Linked DNA regions of Caenorhabditis elegans. The gene in region 1 interacts genetically with each later gene. Each region holds a gene or a part of one and is shown on either strand. Other genes may lie near its edges.

Region 1 (3,848 bases):
ATTGAGTACTTTGAGCTCAGCTGTTTGTTCGGGTGACGTAATTCATACAATCACGGGCGGCTGGGACAGGACAGAGAACAGAGTATTGAGTAGATTTAGAGAAGCAGAGACAACTGTTCTAGATTTAAGATTGACAATAATTAATTGAATTCCATTGCATTATAGGAACACACAAGTATAACATACCATTTTTCAGCCCTACCCAATCTACCATCCAACGCTTACATGGAGCCAAATCGTACCTAATTTGAATTCACGTGGCCGTGATCTTTTACAGGTAACTTTTTTCCAATAAAAATTATACTTACTCAAACTCGAAGTATTTGCAGAAACTTCTTGTTTGCAATCCAGCAGGAAGAATCGATGCCGATGCAGCTCTACGCCATGCGTACTTCGCAGACACTTCTGACGTCTAACTATTCACTATTGCACTTTCCTACTCACATTGTTTTCTCGCTTTCCCTGGCATTCACTTCCCCCACTGACCCCAAATGAACCTCATTGCTTGCGAAACAAAATCTCATCGTTAATAAACGGCTACGGTTTGAAATCTTTCTGTGGCACATAATTGAACGAAGGGAAAATCAACAACGTTTTATTGTTGTTCGAGTAATTTTAAAGATCAACGGCAAACACAGGTGCAATAACCGAGATTGTCAAACCGAGTCCAGATAAAGGGGCTATCCTAACGAATGTTCAATCGGGGTGTTGAGGGAAAGAATGAGAATTTGAAAAGGGGAAAACTTTAATAGAGGATTTAAAACTTTTTATGTGGCTCGCTTTATTTTTGAAAACTTAACATAGTAGCTAGGTGAACTACTTTGCTAAAACAAGCTACATAACGAGATTTTGTTGGACAATGACAAGGTAAAAATTATCAAAGTGTTATCAAATTTAAAGGAACTTCTGGATTTCGTCGTAGATGGCCAAGACGAGGGCTCCTCCGGTTCCACGGAAGACGTTGGAGAGGGCTCCCTTGAACATAGCGGACATTCCTTCGTTTTGGATGATCTTCTTTGCGCAATCGAGGGTGTTTTTGTAGAGGATATCCTTGCGTCCAGACTGCATCATCATACGACGACGAACAGTGTCCCATGGGTAGGAAAGGATTCCAGATCCGACTGTGACAACTTGAGCAATTCCCCAAGCGGCGAAGAAGTTGAGTTTCTGTCCATCAGAAGCGAAGACCATCTTGGCGGTATCGAACATTCCGAAGTATGCGGCACGGTAGATGATAATTCCTTGCACGGAGACGAAGAATCCTCTGTAGAGTCCGATTGGTCCATCGGATTTCACGATCTTGATAAGGCAGTCAGCAAGTCCCTTGAATTCACGGTCGTTGGCCTTTCCAATATCAGCAGCAAGACGGGTACGGGCAAAGTCGAGTGGGTAGACGAAGCAGAGGGAGGTGGCTCCAGCAGCTCCTCCGGAAGCCAAGTTTCCTGCGAAGAACCTGAATTTCAAATGTGAAATTTTCTAAAAACAATAATGCAATGTTTAACTTACTTCCAGAAGTCCTTCTTTTTGTCGAGTCCCTCAAGGAAGATTGCCTTGTATGTGTCCTTGAAGGCGAAGTTCATGGCCTGAGTTGGGAAGTACCGGATGACGTTAGCGAGGTTTCCTCTCCAGAGGGCAGCAACTCCTTGCTCCTTTGGGACACGGATGAGAACATCCATGATTCCCTTGTAACGCTTGTCAACGGCGATAGCCTTGGAAGCATCTTGGACCTAAAATTTTTCATATTTATAGTGGAAAAAAGTTTCATCACACACCTGGAGGAGAAGCTTGACACGCTCAATTGGGGCAACAGCGGTCTTGGAGACGGCAGCAGCGGTACCTAAAAGAAAACAAAATTAATTAAATCACAAATTTGACGAATGAAAACCCAAAATTAATAATTATAGAAATCCTCCAAATTTTTGCAATAAAAACTGAAAAAGCTTACCTCCTGAGGCGAGATCGATCAAGAACTTTTTGGTGTCGAAGGACTTTTCTTTGGACATGATTCAAGATTGAAGGACCTCGGTGGTCGGTGCTTGCCAGAAGCAATAGTGGGAAGACGGCCGCCCGTCGAAACGGGGTGCGCGCACAGCCCGTGAGGCACTTTGCAGGTCTCGCCACGCTCGCAAGTACGGTGCGTCAGGCGCGGCGATTCAAACACTAGTTTTCTCTGACCGCCCAGTTTTGGGATTTTTTGCATATTTTGAGCCTAAATATCAGTTTTGTTATCGATTTTTCGTATTTTTCTTTTCTAAACGTGTTCGTTCCTTCATTCCTGAATTTTTCACGTTTTGTTTTATTAAAAAAACGTGATTTATTTTCGAAAAATAGGTCATAACTCCAAGAAAGTAACTTAATTGCGAAAGTTTCAGTTTTTATGAAAATTATGAGCCATGTCAAAGCAAACACAATAGTGTATTAGTGATAAGCAGTACTTGAAGTGTTTTTTGTTTATTTACACTGTAGATAACTGGTTATTCGTAACCTCAATGTTCCGAAAAAAATCGATATCGCATTGTGGCTAATTTATGCCTACGGGAGTTTGGTATGACCGGTTTTTCGAATCGCTTTAAAGTAGTTTTCTTCATATTTCTCTTCTCATCGAGCCAATGACTTGTCACTATCATGGAATTTTTTTCGGGTATCAGTATGTCGAGCCACAAGGAAGAGCCACTCGAGGCTGACGTCGATCAACTTACTCAATACCGTGAGCGATGTGCCGACCATGTCACCGAATTCAAGAGTATTCTCGACGAGTGCAACGATCGTGTCAACTCTCGTTCTAACACTGAGGAGACCTGCCATCAGGAGATGGCTGACTACGTTCACCATTTGGATCACTGTGCCATGCCAAAGGCCTTCGCTTCGTTGAAATAATATTTCTTTTCCTGCTTTTTTTGAGGATTTCTCGTCTAGTTTATGTGAATTTTCGCTCTCGTATTTTTTATCCGTCGCTTTTTCCGTGTATTTGAGAGATAAATAAATAAAAATTTAGGGTACCCCATCCGCATCACTGCTGGACAACAATGCCGTCTGATGCGAAGAAAGCACGCGAGGCCGCTAAGAAGGCTGCCGCCAAAGGAGGAAAAGGAAAAAAGAAGGTGAGCAATTGATTTTTAGTTTTTTTTTGTTTAACAAATAATAATCATCTCATTTCCAGGTAGAAACACCAACCGCCATGTCATCTCAACATCCGTCCGTCAACAGTCTCTGCTGTTTAGACGAGGAGCTCGATCAGGCCGCCGCCACCTTGGCCAAAATCGAATTGGAAAACGCTGCTGCTCGTTCAGTCGCCGGATCATTGACTTCCGATCCAAAGGGTCTTGATCACAGAGTAGAAAGCCTGACGGTAAGTGGTTTTTAATTGGCGACTCCAACAAGTAACTTTGTTTTCATTCAGATTACATTCCACGGTCGTGAAATTGTCGTTGACACGAAACTCGAACTCAACCGTGGACGTCGTTACGGACTCATCGGATTGAACGGATCTGGAAAGTCTACCATCATTCAGGCAATCTACAACAAGGAAATGCCAATCCCAGAGTCCGTGGATATGTACCTCGTATCCCGTGAAATGCCTGCTTCAGAGAAAACTGCTCTTCAAGCGGTCGTTGATGTCGATTCAGTCAGAAAAGAGTTGGAACATCTTGCCGAGCAGCTTGCTAGTCAGACTGATGAGGAAAGTCAGGACAAGCTGATGGATGTTTACGAAAGGCTGGATGAAATGGATGCATCTCTCGCTGAAAAGAAGGCTGCCGAAATTTTGCACGGACTTGGATTCACAAAAACTATGCAAATGAAAAAATGTAAAGATTTTTCTGGAGGATGGAGAATGCGCATTGCTCTCG
Region 2 (4,876 bases), on another chromosome or scaffold:
CCATGTTCCGAAAACTTGAAAAGGCCTAGCGCGCTACTTACAATAACCTATATGTAGGTCGAGGCAAACAACGTTCGCATCTCATCCTCTCTAACTTGTCAAAATCACTCAAAGTCAACGATTCAAAGAATATTGGAACTTCTTATAAACTGTACATTATTCTAAAAAACTAAACTATTTTAGTGATACACTGAAAACAAACAAAAAAAAAAAGATAATCAAAAAATAAAGGAGATGAGTGTAAGGAGATCATGTGGTGGTGCTCACTGATTCTCGTGAGCACTAATTGAATAATTTTGAAAAAGCGTGACTGACATTTTACAACTACATGTCCAAACTTGTGGGAATTGCAAACTAAAAGAACACTTGAACGTTTGAACATTTAAGATTGAGAAAAAGTGTTACAATAATGAGTCAAAAACGGTTACTTGTTCTGGATTGTTCAAGGCAATTTGAATAATCTTCACGTTTACTCACCCGTAATGCTGCAAGCATTTTGTCGAATGACATGAATTTCGAAAGTGCCGCCACATTTGCTTCGAGTGTCATTTTTTGATTTTTGTGTTCGGAATGAAGTATAGACGTCCGGAAGTATATAGTAGAATGGTATCATCAGCACTTCATTGTTGTTTTCGGAATAATTGAGAAAGTAGGTGTTGTGAGAGGCGTGGTCCCAAGTTTTTGCGGTAATATGGAACACACACACTTAAAAAAATCGGGGCCGAACGACGACACAACAGGCAGCAGTAGCAAAAACTTCAGTGCGTCCTGTGTATATGTACGGTGCGTGTGTTTCACCGTTTGACCTTGGAACGGCCCAAAAAGGAAGCGAATTTAATTGTAAGTAAGAAGTAAGTGTGAGCACTTATGCTTATCGCTTTATCAAAACACCGGCGCTGATTACCGTAGTTTGGCGTTCCGAACAGGTTGTGGATAGGTTGATTGTTTGAAGATGAAAATTGAGATATTGAAGATGACGATGATGACACTGGACTTTAAACTTTGATCGTTGTTGGCAAGAATACAGCTTCTTTGTTTCAGACCTAGTTGGTCCGAATAATTTCAACTAGAGCTCACTATGAGTTCATTTATTTCAGGTATCGTAAAAGCTGAACGACTTTTCCAGAATTTTTCCTTTCGAATTTTTCCAGTACAGGTTTCATTGAAAAAGCGTTTAGATGTAGAAGTAAAAGTCCACCATTATCTTGAGCGCATTTTGTATCTTCAACACATGAAATTTCTCTCATCATTTTCTCGAATGTTGAGAGCACATCACACTCAAGAACATCAGTTCTTCTTTCCTCTCCACTCACTTCTAAACAATTCCCCGTCAGCAAAATGGCGTGAGTTTAACGCTGCACAAAACATACGCCGAACTTCGAAAAAGAGATGAAGACTAATTGATGAGAAACAATCAATAAGAAGAAGGATCGGATCAGAATGGAACTTTTTGAACTTATAATAGAAGCTTATTACAAATTTCTAAAACTGAATTAAAGTTTGATAACTAAATGTCCTTTAGAGTGTTATTATATTCATTTGTTAACACCATGTTTTCTGAATACACACAAAAATATAGAGCATTAAATTCAATGAACTGAAAATATATGTAGCTCCAATAATTCAAATCCAATAAGATTCTTGATTGAAGAAAAGAAAATCGTTTAGCAATTTAAAGTTATAGAATACTACCGCCAACCACAAAAACAACAAAAAGTTTCATCTTGGTGCAATGGTTGAGTCAAGTCATAATAATCTAACCTGATTGAAAAAACATAATAACAAACTAACGTCGTCATCGCTGTTTGGAGGTGTCAAGCAGTTATTCTTGCTGTGTATCCGCCTGTGGCGCTGAAATAAAAAAAATTATTTAAATATTATTTATGATATTTTTAATTACACTTGCTGGGCTTGACGATTTATCATCGTCGTCAATCTTTTCAACATCAATTACACTTGCTGAACCCGGAGTTTTTGACGTTTGAATAGGAGTTTCGTAAGAAACAGCAGAAAAGTAATATGGAGTTGGATAGAATGGAAGTTTGTGGAAATTGTGGAAAGAGTTACTATACATGGCACTGTGAGAGTATAGATGGCGATTGTATGTGTTGTTGCAATGATCTGTTTTGCCTACTTCATCTCGGCGCCCCGTTAAGATAGCCGTCGATTTCGGCGCTGGGAGGGTCGAACAGTTTTCAACTCCCCCAAATTGCACTTTTGATGTAGAAATTCAGAGAGAATAAATGTTGCTGCTAACAAGTGGTGGGAGGGTACGGTTACACAAAAGATAGAAAACGCACGAAAAGAGATGATAAGAATATGACTCCTTTTTGTTCTCAGAAAATATTGGCCACTCTAACGCTTATCGCTACAAATCGAACATTTAGACACAGACCGCCGAAGATGACATGTCAACGTTCTAAAATCAGTGCTGTTCTTTGAGAAAGAAGCAGACATATTTATGTGTTACTTATAACAGTTAAACGTTTAAGCTCTACGAATACTTTAGAAAGTAAGATTTTATTTCCGACACATTTTTGAGTGGAAAAGGGGAAATAGCTGCAGAGAGGACATTGTTTCATAATGCCGATTGTACCAGAATGGTCGAATTTTTCAGTTTTCAAACCAAATATGAAATTGAGAACATTTTGAAAATTGTTCTACCATGATATGCCGTTACTACATATTTTGTGTTTTTTTACTGACACCAGTAGATAGGCTTGAAGTGGCTTTGTAAGTTAAGACTAAATAAAATTGATGAGTATCAACTCTAAGAAAATTTCAATACCATTTGTTCGAAACTTCTACAAAATAACTGAGGTTTAAACATAAATGTTAACACATTCTTGTGAAAATGATGCAATATATTTTGCAAAAAAGGTCATTTCTACAAGACTATTCTGCATCTATTCCCACAAGCTTTTATTGATACTTTGGTCTTCTGTTTAGCTGATGAGAAAAAAATTATAAATACGGTTTCAACTTTAAGTTTGTTATAAATAACTTGTAAATATCCAATTTGTTCACCTTTTTGCCGATTTATACTAATTTTCACATTTTTGATTGCTTTACACAGTTTGTACTGGCTCTTCTCGGTATACAATTTTTTAAAGCCGTGAGATTTTAGAAATCACTTACCCTGCGGGTTACTCGTTTCCTTCTCACGACGGGCTCCTCTACCTTATCTGGGTTTTCATTTGTTTCGATTTCCATTGACTGTTCCGCAATGACTCCTCCATTTGTGCCCATTTAATTGGCGCCCGTTGCGCCGAAATGTGCGCTGAAAAATTTTCATTATGTTTTTGTAAAGCAAGTAAAGCAAGATTTTGAGCAACATGGAATAGCAAGGAATAAGTTTCCAAAGTACACACTGGTGATCAACAGCCACAAAAGAAAAGATCGGAAGAGACACAAGAACGGGGACGGGAGGTCGTTATTTGTGAATACTTTGTCATTTTTCTGCTGTGATTTTTTTTTTTGCGTGGAACAGTCGAAAAAAAAAAATTTTGCTACTGCTAATTTTAAACATATCTACTGATTGCGAGCAAAGTTTTGTAAAATTGAAACATCTCGATTAGGCAAAACAGATCTCGTCAAAACTTTCTCTATAAAATAAGTTTTTCTTTTTGATTAGATATTATATACAGTTATAACTTGTAACGAAAAATTGGGAAAAAAATGTTTTTTGATGAATGAAGCTCGGTAAAGTTATCTACATCGAAAGTTGTTCTTGACGACCAGCAAAAAAAAAACAAACAAACCAGATAACTGGGTTAACTGGTGCGTGGATATCTACAATTTAAACTGAAATAAAAGTACATTTTCATTATCATGTTTTCATCCGCTTGGTTGATGAGTAGAACTAAGATTTAGTCTCAAGTAGACTCTGCTGTTCATACTATTTCTGCCTTTTTGCTGGCACGCATAAATTGATAAATTATGTATTTATCTCTAAAAATTTAATTGAAAATCTGTCACTTCTGATTATAGTGTGTTTGTTTCATCAAATCCTAATGCTTAGCACCAAAAATCTGATTCGTTTCATTTTGACGTGAAAAATTGCTAAATTGGAAAGATGAGAAGCTGGAGAGGAAGGCATTTGAAATTTGGATTTGAGATGGCATATGGGGAGGGAAAAAGCGGAACAATTGTAAAAAATGTCGTGGTCTCATTCACTCAACACATGAAACTGCACCTACTGAGAAGAATATGCATTTCTGGTGAAATATTGAAATAAAACAGCACGGAACGAACAAAAAAAGGTTTTAGAGAATGTAAGAAATTGAAAAATAAGTTGTGGTGCACTCAATTCTGAGTCAAAAACAAAAAGATTGAGTTAATTTTCAGATAGAAATTTGATATTCGGCCAAGAAAATTGATGAAATTAAAATAAAATCGAGTTGCGGCATTTGAAGAACTTTCAATGTTTTCAAAATGTATTTTGATGCAGAATAATGTTGCAAAATGGAACAATCACGAAAGTGAAATAAAAAATCTAAAAATTTATCTCAAAAGTATTAAAAAAGTTTTAAAAAATATTTTTGACTAACTTAGGGAAAAAAATTAATTATTTTTGAATAAGTTTAATACAAAATGTAAAATTAAACTTAATAAAAATTACATCTCCTATTCAACTGATTAATGGAAAAAGGAAAGTACTGAAATACTAAATAAAATTAAATTGAAAAAACCATTTTTAGAAAATGTTTTCATTTTGAATCCAACTTTAAAAAAATATCAGTTACATTTAAGATCACTTATCAGACAAATAAAATTATTTTCAAAAAAAATAATTTGAGGAACCAAAAAATGAAATACGATTAGCAATGTGCCTAAAGGTCATTTCAGATAAAACTAGACGCAACATCCAGGGAAA

Evidence for each region.
Region 2: of ant-1.1 (region 1) and daf-12, changing one suppresses a phenotype caused by changing the other (phenotypic suppression), as found in Caenorhabditis elegans (one study listed by BioGRID).

What each region holds. Positions count from the first base shown.
Region 1 is NC_003281.10:13,461,386-13,465,233, reverse strand, and holds ant-1.1 (ADP/ATP translocase), read right to left. Parts: upstream 2,072-3,848; 5' UTR 2,004-2,071; coding exon 1,946-2,003; intron 1,838-1,945; coding exon 1,773-1,837; intron 1,728-1,772; coding exon 1,507-1,727; intron 1,454-1,506; coding exon 895-1,453; 3' UTR 582-894; downstream 1-581. Other genes in the region: cdk-5 (Cyclin-dependent-like kinase 5), read left to right, coding at 197-277, 330-416; T27E9.2 (Cytochrome b-c1 complex subunit 6), read left to right, coding at 2,650-2,877; abcf-2 (ABC transporter domain-containing protein), read left to right, coding at 3,027-3,101, 3,161-3,349, 3,401-3,848.
Region 2 is NC_003284.9:10,642,813-10,647,688, reverse strand, and holds the start of daf-12 (Nuclear hormone receptor family member daf-12), read right to left. Parts: upstream 3,250-4,876; coding exon 3,139-3,249; intron 1,852-3,138; coding exon 1,792-1,851; intron 1-1,791. UniProt on the Caenorhabditis elegans protein: Nuclear receptor which binds directly to response elements in target gene promoters. Activity is modulated by binding of steroid hormone ligands that include dafachronic acids.